3 linked regions of the Oryctolagus cuniculus genome follow. The protein of the gene in region 1 purifies or fractionates together with the protein of each later gene. This does not show direct contact. Links are inferred from orthologs where the notes say so. Each region holds a gene or a part of one and is shown in the gene's direction. Other genes may lie near its edges. The genes, in order: SLC7A11, CD44 and OTUD5.

Evidence for each region.
Region 2: the proteins of SLC7A11 (region 1) and CD44 purify together in Homo sapiens (affinity purification with western blotting; 3 studies listed by BioGRID and IntAct, with this or other methods). This does not show direct contact. The link is inferred for Oryctolagus cuniculus from reciprocal best matches to the Homo sapiens genes SLC7A11 and CD44.
Region 3: the proteins of SLC7A11 (region 1) and OTUD5 purify together in Homo sapiens (affinity purification with western blotting; 3 studies listed by BioGRID, with this or other methods). This does not show direct contact. The link is inferred for Oryctolagus cuniculus from reciprocal best matches to the Homo sapiens genes SLC7A11 and OTUD5.

Annotation. Positions count from the first base shown.
Region 1 is NC_091439.1:26,522,582-26,526,234, forward strand, and holds part of SLC7A11 (cystine/glutamate transporter), read left to right. Parts: intron 1-2,337; coding exon 2,338-2,464; intron 2,465-3,653. UniProt on the Homo sapiens protein: Heterodimer with SLC3A2, that functions as an antiporter by mediating the exchange of extracellular anionic L-cystine and intracellular L-glutamate across the cellular plasma membrane.
Region 2 is NC_091432.1:30,782,366-30,786,018, reverse strand, and holds part of CD44 (CD44 antigen), read left to right. Parts: intron 1-2,487; coding exon 2,488-2,574; intron 2,575-3,450; coding exon 3,451-3,653. UniProt on the Homo sapiens protein: Cell-surface receptor that plays a role in cell-cell interactions, cell adhesion and migration, helping them to sense and respond to changes in the tissue microenvironment.
Region 3 is NC_091453.1:34,106,564-34,110,216, reverse strand, and holds part of OTUD5 (OTU domain-containing protein 5), read left to right. Parts: intron 1-3,205; coding exon 3,206-3,270; intron 3,271-3,357; coding exon 3,358-3,514; intron 3,515-3,608; coding exon 3,609-3,653. UniProt on the Homo sapiens protein: Deubiquitinating enzyme that functions as a negative regulator of the innate immune system. Has peptidase activity towards 'Lys-48'- and 'Lys-63'-linked polyubiquitin chains. Can also cleave 'Lys-11'-linked ubiquitin chains (in vitro).

The DNA of each region.
Region 1 (3,653 bases):
CGACCCAAGTCTCCCACTTGGCTGGCACAAGCTCAATTACTTGAGCTATCACCATTGCTTTCTAGGGTCTGCTTTACCAGGAAGCTAGAGTTAGAGCTGGGGTTGGAAATTAAACCAGATACTCTGATATGAGGTGTTGGCATCATAACTACTAGGCTAAGTGCAAGCTTTTGCTTTGCACTTTTTAAAAGCCAGGGTCAATAGATAGATTTTTACATCCTGTTTTCAACTTTGTTTTTCATCTATGCAAAGTGATTATAGAGCTTGAAATCTTTAAATGAAAATCCTATTCCCCTAGAACTCAATTCAAATCTAGAGCAACCATCCTGGAGTTACAGCAAAGCATACATAGGTGTAGGCATTGATTTTGTGACAATAAATTCTGAGGTACTTAAGAGTTTTTCCAATAACATTTTGTATGAGAGATTCTTGGTCCCTCCTATGGGAGCTTAACTCTATTGGAGAGTAGGCGTGTAGTGTGGTCTTACAGTCTGTCTTTTATTTGTTTTCTTTTCTTTATTTATTTTTTAAAGACAACCTGTTTTTCTTTTTAAAATTTATTTATTTATTTGGAAGGTAGAGTTACAGAGAGGCAGAGACAGAGAGAGACAGATCTTCTATCTGCTGGCTCATTCTCCAAATGGCCACAATGGCCAGAGCTGGGCCTATCCAAAGCCAGGAGACAAGAGATTCTTCCCCATCTTCTGCATGAGTGCAGGAGCCCAAGGACTTGGGCAGACTTCTGCTGCTTTCCAAGATCATTAGCAAGGAGCTGGATTGGAAGTGGAGCAGTCAGGACTTGAACCGGCACCCATATGGGATGCCGCTAATACAGGCTGTGGCCTTACCTGCTATACAACAGTGTCTGCCCCTCATTTGTTTTCTTTTTCTTTTTAAAGATTTATTTATCTACTTATTTATTTATTTGAAAGGCAGAGTTAGAGAAAAAGAGAAATCTTCCATCCACTGATTCATTCCCCAGACCACCCAAAAGACTCAGGCCATCTTCCACTATTTTTCCAGACCATAGAAGAGAGCTGGATCAGAAGTGGAGCAGCTGGGACTTGAACCATGCCCATATGGGATGAGGCCACTACAGGCATTGGCTTTACCTGCTATGCCACAGCACTGGCCACCCCACCCCCCCTTTTAAGATTTATTTAGTTATTTGAAGGGCAGAGGCAAAGAGAGAGAAGAAGGGAAAGAGTAAGAGAGAGAACATTTGTTTGCTACTTAAAAATTATTTCCAGGTGATTCTTGCATAGTGCTATGTTCAGGGATAAAGTGCTACTAAGATTTCACTGCATCTTCAAAATTTACTTTTGTTGAATAGCTGTACCAAAAGCATAACTGATTAGTAGCATTTTTCCATCTTTTGTTTCTGATGAAACTTGGGCAAAAGTTGTATGTTACATTTGAGTGTTTAGCAGTATAGATAAAACTTTTCAAATAATATTATTTTTCATTTTCTCATAATTGCTCAAGTTAATAGATATATAGATATAGCTGTATCTCCTGCTGTCACATATATGCATACAACTCCCCTGTGAAGTGAAAATTGAGGTCCATCTCATAGGAGATGAAACTGAGGTTCTGAGAGGTTATATTTCATGCCCAATTCCATGTGACTTGCATTCCTAAATGTTAACATTTCTGTTTATAAGTAATTTTACCTAGTGTTCTTAAATATAAACTGTAACATCCCTTTTTAATTTTAAAAGTATGTTCTTTCAACCACCCAGAATATATACTTCACAAACATCCAAATAACCTTTTCTAGCAACAAAAAATGGAATCAAAATTCATTTCAATCACAGAATATATATCCTACAAATGAAATGGAGTCTCGCAGGTCATAGGATCCATATTTTCCTGGAGAGCAGCCAAAAATTTACTTATTTTCACTTGCTATGGAAGTATCATTTGTTAAAGGATTCTCAATATAATAAGGTCAGGTTGGGACAATTATTTATTTTGGTATGAAGTTCTGTTCTTCACGAAACAAGTCACTATGATGGGTATCCACCTTCTAGTTTTCCCTTGCTCAACTCAAAATTCTGAAACCTATGGTACTATTTTAGAAGTTTGTCCTTACCATTTTAAGTAAAATTATATTGTTCAAATACAGTGAACTAGAGCTCCAAGAGAGGAATTTGGAAGAGGAACTTGGTAGGTTTCAGCAAGTACATGGCGGTTATTTGTCTTGAAATAAGGACGCCATTCACCCCAAGGAAATAGTTACAACTCAGGCAACATAAACATTGCTTGAGTGATTCTTCTGCTGGGTGGCTTGATAATATATTAAATTTGTACCTTTTTATTATAAATATTTCACAGGAGCCTTGTCCTATGCTGAACTGGGAACAAGTATAAAGAAATCTGGTGGCCATTACACTTATATTCTGGAAGTCTTTGGTCCATTGCTAGCTTTTGTACGAGTCTGGGTTGAACTGCTCATAATACGGTAAGAACATAGAAAAATATTAAGAAAAAAGAAACCTATGTGTATGTCATTCTTCTGAGTCACCTTGGTTATTTTTACTAGTTAGAAATATGCATCTCTTGTGACTGTGTTGTAAACATGTAAACTTTAGGATATAAAGTCTGTGATAAATACCTTTCTGAATTAACATTTTAAAACATATTTGTCACTGGCAACAGTTCACTAAAAATGCCACACTTTTAAGGTAATGCTTTTTATTAATCTTGAATTATTTTCCGTGACATTTCTAGGAAAGATGCTTACTTGCAAGGATATGTAGCATCAAAGTTCACCTTGATAAATCGTACCTTTTGACTGACTGACAAAGTTCAGCATGCTGACTTGGAGATTTTGTTTGAATTACAGGGTATATCATTTGGTCATTTAGCTATTCAATTTCGTGACTAAGAAATTTCTATGCCTAATAACAACTTGGTGTGTCACCAAGACCTGCACTTTACAAAACATTAAGTTTACATCCCATAAATGACTCACTTCCTCACCTTAAGCAAATCAATGAGCTGCAGTTGCGAAAATCTTTTTTGTTATTGTTTTAAGAATGTGTTCCTCTTCCTGATTGTCTTGGCAACAAATAGTGCTAAGTCACGCTGAATAGCAAATTGCTTTCAACTTTGTGGGGGAACTTATGACATCATATGAGCAGTGTACTGGGTTACATGGCCCAAAGGCTAACTACATCCATCCAAAGTGACAGAATTCAGTAGAAATAAGTGGAGAACTAGTGGTATAGGTAAACTTATCAGACCTCCAAGGAGATTCACAAGGTTCATGGAAAAATGGAATTAAAACATAATGCATATTTTCCATGAAACTTTTGAATACTCCTTTTATAAAGCTGCACACTCTAATGAGCTTATATTCTGTTATTTATGGTAAGTGGCAAATGCAGAACTATTAAGTTTATCCATTAATACTCATCATGAATTTTATGGTGTTAGATGTCTCCTTTTTTATATATCAAAGAACTTCAGAGTAGTATACAACTCATTGTTAAGACTCTTCTAATTTTGAACAATTCTGCATTATTTAAAACTTATTATATTGAAATAATGATAAAGGAGAATTTTGTTCTTTTTCTAATATCCATCATCCTGGGATGTACTTCTACTTGTTTTGAATTATTTCTTACATATTCCCCAAAGGTCAACTT
Region 2 (3,653 bases), on another chromosome or scaffold:
GGCCATCTCTTTTTTATTTCCTTTTTTCTCTCCACTTAAGGCAGGACAAGGATAGGATTGCTTTGATGGTTGTGAAAAAGACATTTTTGGAGCCATATAATCACAGAGAATAGGGAAATACCATCAGTCTACAGAGAAGTCATGTTGTTGACAATTGACTAAGGTGGCAAGGTCCTTGGAGCAAAAAAGGAACTGTTACTAACATCTCTATTGCTAAATTTCCAGAAGGGAGCAGTGTTAAACTTCTAGTAGCCTTAATTTCTACCATATGTACATGGATATACTAGCAACTTGCCCAAAATCACTCATAATTTCTTGGAAGAATTTGAATGAAATCCAAAATTAAGAAGATGTCATTTCACTGCTTGCTACACACGAGTAGAGTCCTTTGTATTAGCCCTTATGCAAGTGAAATGTGTTGATTGTCAGTGATGTACACAGCACAGCATTAAGCTTAAAAGCAGATACAAATAATTGTGAATGGCCCCTGCCAATGAAGGACTCAGGTTTCTATTCTATCTCTGTTGACTTCTATACTGAGGCTGGGGTTTGGAATTTGGTGAATGTTTCTGTCCTGGTTATGTTATTTATTTGGTGGTGGACATGACTTAAGTGATTGCTTTATGGATTGCTTGCACCTGCAACTCAGAGGTCAGTACCCTTCTTAGAAGAATACAAGGGAAATGAACTCAAAACAGCCAAAGTGATTTTGGAGATGGGCTATGGTTCAACTTCAAATTGATCAATGTCACTGGGAGCCTTGTGTTTGCCCAGGCAAGCGTTTCCTTCATGCAATGATAGGAATCCCATCCACAGATGAAATTAAAAAAAAAAAAAAACACCTACAAATAGAGTAAAATGGTTATTTTAATTGTCTTCTGAAAAGAGTTAAATATTTCCTTGTATAAATTTGATCTGAGTGGCCGGTGCCACGGCTCACTAGGCTAATCCTCCGCCTGCGGCGCCGGCACTCTGGGTTCTAGTCCTGGTCGGGGCACCAGATTCTGTCCCGGTTGCCCCTCTTCCAGGCCAGCTCTCTGCTATGGCCCGGGAGTGCAGTGGAGGATGGCCCAAGTGCTTGGGCCCTGCACCTGCATGGGAGACCAGGAGAAGCACCTGGCTCCTGCCATAGGATCAGCGCGGTGCGCCGGCCGCAGCGCACCGGCCACGGCGGCCATTGGAGGGTGAACCAACGGCAAAGGAAGACCTTTCTCTCTGTCTCTCTCTCTCACTGTCCACTCTGCCTGTCAAAATAAATAAATAAATAAATAAATTTGATCTGAGTTACTGGAGCAGGCTATACTGGATAAACGTCTCTTTTGTGGGGTTACAGGTATACTATGGGCTATCAGAGTATTTATTTTCCTTATGTCACACTTCTTGACACACAGTTAAGTACTCTTTTTTAAATTAATTTATTTTTATTTAAAAGTCAGAGAGAGGGACACACACACAGAGAGAGATAGAGAGAGACAGAGACAGAGAGAGAGAGAGAGAGAGATCTTCCATCCACACATTCACTTCCCAGATGGCCACAATGACCAGGGCTAGACCAGGCCAAAGTCAGGGACCAAGAGCTTGATCTAGGTCTCCTATGTGTGTGTCAGGGGTACAAGCACTTAGTCAATCTTCCACTGCTTTTCCCAGGCCACTAGCAGGGATCTGGATCAGAAGTGGAGCAGCTGGGACTTGAATTGGCACCCATATGGGATACCGTGTTTCAGGTGGCAGCTTTACCTGCCATGCCACAGTGCTGGCCCCAGTTAAGTACTCTTTTTTTTTTTTTTAAAGATTTTTATTTACTTGAAAGTCAGAGTTACACAGAGAAAGAAGGAGAGGCAGAGAGAGAGAGAGAGAGAGAGGTCTTCCATCCGCTGGTTCACTCCCCAGATGGCCACAATGGCTGGAGCTGCACCAGTCCGAAGCCAGGAGCCAGGAGCTTCTTCTGGGTCTCCCAAGCGAGTCCTTGGGCCATCCTCTACTGCTTTCACAGGCCATAGCAGACAGTTAGATTGGAAGTGGAGCAGGCAGGACTCAAACTTGTACCCATATGGGATGCCGGCACTGTAGGCGGTGGCTTTACCTGCTACACCGCAGTGCTTGCCCCCCAGTTAAGTACTTGTTGATAGGAGCACTGGGACTCAAGCATTCCCTTTTTCTAGGTCTCTGTATTCTCTGGTTTTCCTGAGCGACTGGGAACAATACTACAATTGGGCCAGGGTGAACCAGGGTGGGCAAAGTTCTGGCTCAAACTTCACCTTGGCTCTTAACCTTCATTGCTTATATTGGGAAACAAAGGGATCAACTAGGGGCAAGATAGAATTCTTCTGTATATTTATGTCAATCCAGCGAGAATGTGCACCCATAATGGCTTTTCTATGCAACTATCTCTTTGCCACTGATATAGCTTGATCCTCCTCATTATCAGACAACAGGATATGTATCATAGCTCTAAATTAATGCTGGATTCATCCCTCATCAAAACAGAGCAGAGCCCTCTCCAGAGCTTCTCGACATTACATGGAGGCTTGGAAGAAGATAAAGACCATCCAACAACTTCTCTGACATCCAGAAGTAAGGATGAAAAAGCCCAATTAGCTTGGGCAATTGATGAAAATCAACAAATTATGGGTGCTTTGCAGTGTCTTTGGTGGTGGTGCGTCCATTGACTGCTGTTACGCTGTTACTTTTGAGCAATAGGTGCGTGTGGTTATGGTTCTCTGATTTTTCTGCTTTATAGACCTCTTAGAAGCCATTATACTTTAAACGCAAACTTAGTTCTTAATCTTAAAGATTGGGTTTCCTAAGCTTTTTAGTGGACGCCTTGGTTTTAAAATAATGGATTGTTTATGTATGATTTATAATTGGTGTAGAAGTCTGACTATCTCACTCTCTGTATTCCTTGCATTAATAACATTATTTTGCCATTTGTCCTCTGGACCATAGCTCCATGGTACTGGTGACAAAGAAGCAGTGCCTTTCTGGCAAAGAATAATTGAATTAACAAACTCAGGTCTTTGAAACTTTGCACTTGTTATTCCAATTGCAGGCAATGCCATTTTACTTTTCAGTCCAATGGTGTGTTTCTTCTACCTCATCAAAGGTGGATCCAATGGAAAAAGAGCTCAAGATTATCTAGTGCCTGAGTTGCCTTCAAGGTCACAGTTGTAGTAGCATAAGCCTTACCTTAATAACCCAGGTAGATGTTGTAATGAATACCTCATCTGGGTATTAGATCACTAACTAGACTCTTCTGTTGAGTGATGTCCAGGTGGCATGTATTGCAAAATATTGATTTTGTTCAATAGTGTGACAAAATTCCCTCTTTGGCTCATTGCTCATGGGTAACACATGGCAAATTTTCGCAGCAATTGCACATTCTGAAGACAAGCACACAGTGGGTGGTGATCTTAGAAATGTGGGTTTATCATGGACTCCACCTCTACACAGATAGGACTCATGGCAGAGGAGGAAGAAGAGGTGAAAATCTCCCTGCTGACTCAACTACTTCCCTGCAAGGTTATACTCCTCACTACCCAGAAACAAAGGAAAATAGGACCCTCATCCCAGTGACCCCTACTAGGACTGGGGCCTTTGGAATGACTGAAGTTGCTGTTGTTGGGGATTCCAACCCTGATGTTGATCGCTCCTTA
Region 3 (3,653 bases), on another chromosome or scaffold:
CAGTTCGGCTTGCAGTAGGAAAGACAGCCCAAGTCTAGGCACTACATTTGGGGCTTTCCTCACGCTGAGGAAGTGCAACAAGAATGAGGAAGGAGTTAATATGCATTTCTGGTAGCATTCTGGCTGACTGGTGGGCAGCTAGCAATATGAAGGAGTTACCGGCCCAGAGGTGTTAAAGGCCCTGTTCGATACCATGCAGAGATGACAGAGCCTTTCTGCCTGCCAGGCAAAGGGGTCAATGACAGGGAAATGGGGCTCTACCCCCAGCTTTAGCTCTGTCCCACAGTCTCCCTTCTTCCCATTGTCCTATGTCTGCTCCCAGGCCTGGAAATGGTAACCCCTTCCATAGCAGATACATTTTCACCCAACACCTCAGCCTGCCTCCCTGAGCCTGGTAGGCCAACCCCTACTTAACCCCTTGAGTTCCATTTTAGTCTCTGTTTACTGCAACTGCTTACAGCGCTGTCACCTGCACTACCTCCGGACACCCCGGGCACCCAAGGCTCCGCTCACAGAAATAGCTCCTCAAGCAGCTCCGGCAGTCACAGCAGGCTGTGCGGTCCTGGCTTCTAAGAAAGGCAGCAGCAGGGGGCCCCCAACCTGTATGCAGGACATGTGACTTGCTGGAAGTGCCACTGGGGGTGGGGCCGAGAAGAGTGTGGCCACAGAACCCACATCCTTGTTTACATCTGTGAAGGGGCTACCCCCTTCCCGCCTTTGCAGCTCCTACCTCCCTCCCTCAGGTCTCTCTTCACCTCCAGGAGGAATTGAGAGGGACGTCATCCCATTTTCTGTCTGGGAGCAACCTTCTTTTTTTTTTTTTTTTTTTTTTTTTTTTTTTTGACAGGCAGAGTGGACAGTGAGAGAGAGAGACAGAGAGAAAGGTCTTCCTTTGCCCTTGGTTCACCCTCCAATGGCCGCCGCGGCCGGCACGCTGCGGCCGGCGCACCGCGCTGATCCGATGGCAGGAGCCAGGAGCCAGGTGCTTTTCCTGGTCTCCCATGGGGTGCAGGGCCCAAGCACCTGGGCCATCCTCCACTGCACTCCCTGGCCACAGCAGAGGGCTGGCCTGGAAGAGGGGCAACCGGGACAGAATCCGGTGCCCCGACCGGGACTAGAACCTGGTGTGCCGGCGCCGCTAGGCGGAGGATTAGCCTAGTGAGCCGCGGCGCCGGCCCCCTTCTTTTTCTTTTTAATTTGTTTATTTGAAACACAGAATTAGAGAAGAAGAGACAGATCTTCCATCCACTGGTTCACTCCCCAACTGGCTACAATGGCCAGGGCTGGTACAGGCTGAAGCCAGGAGCCAGAAGCTTTGGGTCTTCCACATGGGTGCAAAGACCCAGGTGCATTAGCAGGGAGCTGGTTCAGAACTGGAGCAACCAGGACTCAAACCAGCATTCATATGGGATGCTGGTGTTGCCAGCAGTGGCAGCTTAACCTGCTGAGCTGCCACACTGGCCCCTCAGAGCAACCTTTCTCCTTATCTCACAGAACCCTCCAAGGAGGGAAGGGGAGGGCAGCAAGTGAGTTCCAACAGTTCTTCTGAGGTACACTGATGCTCATGGAAGAACTCTGGGTGTTTCCTGTGTGACCAGACCCTACCTACCCCAGGGCCCTAGGAGATCCTTTCAGTGCACTGGTCCCCAGGGGAAACAGGGACATTCCCTCTTTGTCTCAGCCAGTGGAAATATGGCTTGCCTGATATTTTTTTAAAGATTTATTTAAAAGAGTTACACAGAGGGAGAAGGAGAGGCAGAGAGAGAGGTCTTTCATCCACTGGTTCACTCCCCAATTGGCTGCAATGGCCAGAACTGTGCTGATCCGAAGCCAGGAGCCAAGAGCTTCTTCTGGGTCTCCCACACAGGTGCAGGGGTCCACAGACTTGGCCCATCTTCTGCTTTCCTAGGCCATAGCAGAGAGCTGGATTGGAGGTGGAGCAGCTGGGACTTGAACTGGCGCCCATATGGGATGCCAACATTGCAGGCAGCAGCTTTACCCACTACACCACAATACCGGCCCCTTGCCTGATCTTTAAGCCCACTTTAATTTCCCAGAGAGAAGAGCTCCCTGGCTGCCTCTGCCTATCCATATGCCTGGCAAACTTTCTCTGATTTCCTTTACTGAGCTGGGGGAGGACTTAGGTATGAACTGCCTTCTCCCTTTAGTGGGGACCTGGTGTGATCCAGTAGAAGTGTGTGCCCATGTTGGATCAGTGTGACACGGGTGCCCAGGAAGGTAGGGAACTGTGTCACACAACAGGTTGGAGTTTGAGGAGCAGGCAGTGGGGAGGATGGAAGAGCATCATGAAGAGGGGAATGGCATGGGTGAAGATCCTCAAGTGAGGCAGAGGGCGCCTGGTTCCTGCTCGCCTCCACTTGACTGAATCCCGTGATGCCTGAATCTTTTGGGCCACGAGCTGCCCATGAATTAAACTGAAGTTAGGTGCCTGTGTGCTTTTCTCACTTACTAGACTGTGTGCTCCTTGAAGGCAGGAGCAGGAGTTTAGTTACCTTCACAGTACCCCACTTTGAATCCTCACTATGGAGAGGGGACTCATACCACTGAGTGACTTCTCTGTGCCAAGCTCAGTGCTCATCATTTTATACTATTACTCATTGAGTCTCCACAAGAGGCTTGCTAGGCATCGCCTATCTTGTTGCCATTTTACAGATAAGGCATACGGGGCTCAGAATACTTGGGTCATGTAGCTCACTGGCATTTGCTAGAACTGAACATAGAGCTCAGTTTCTTTTCTTCTTTTTTAAACCTACAAAAGCGATGCTGACTCTTGGACATCAGGCATCTGAAACTGAATTCCAGAATTGATGTCTGTCACAGGCTCCACACAGCCCTTGCAGTCTGTTCACATGTGGAAAGAGAGAGGCTGTGGAATGGATAGTGCTCAAGGCCATTGTGGAACTTGGAATGTTGGTGACTTGTCCGAGTGGCCATGCATGTCCTAGTCAACTGCTCGAGTAGCCTGTGATCATGTCCCTCTCAGCTGCACTCTTGTTCAAGATTGTCCCTGCCTGTCCCTTTTTCCACGACCCCAAACTAGGCCACAAGGGCAAGAGCTGTCCTGACCTTGGAGTAGGAGAGTGTTTCCCTGGTCCCCTGGCTCCCCTCCCCTGAAGATGTTCTGTGAGTCAGAAGTCCTTTCTAGTGGTAGCTCTCACCCTCGCGCCTCCTTCTGTCCCCACAGCTGACCAGGTGTATGGAGACCAGGACATGCATGAGGTTGTACGAAAGCACTGCATGGACTATCTGGTGAGATCTTGGGCAGGCCTTGGGTCAGGCAGCGGGGGAGGATCTCTCCTCTCCACACAGACCTTGACCTTCCAATCTGTTCTGCAGATGAAGAATGCCGACTACTTTTCCAATTATGTCACAGAGGACTTCACCACCTACATCAACCGCAAGCGGAAAAACAACTGCCATGGCAACCACATTGAGATGCAGGCCATGGCAGAGATGTATAACCGTCCCGTGGAGGTGTACCAATACAGCACAGGTACTTCTGTGGTAGGGAGGGGGGACTAGTGGCACCTCATGCAAGCCTGCCATGTCTGGCCCTCTGGATGCTCCCTCCTTCTTTTGCCCTGTAGAACCTATCAACACATTCCATGGGATCCATCAAAATGAGGATGAGC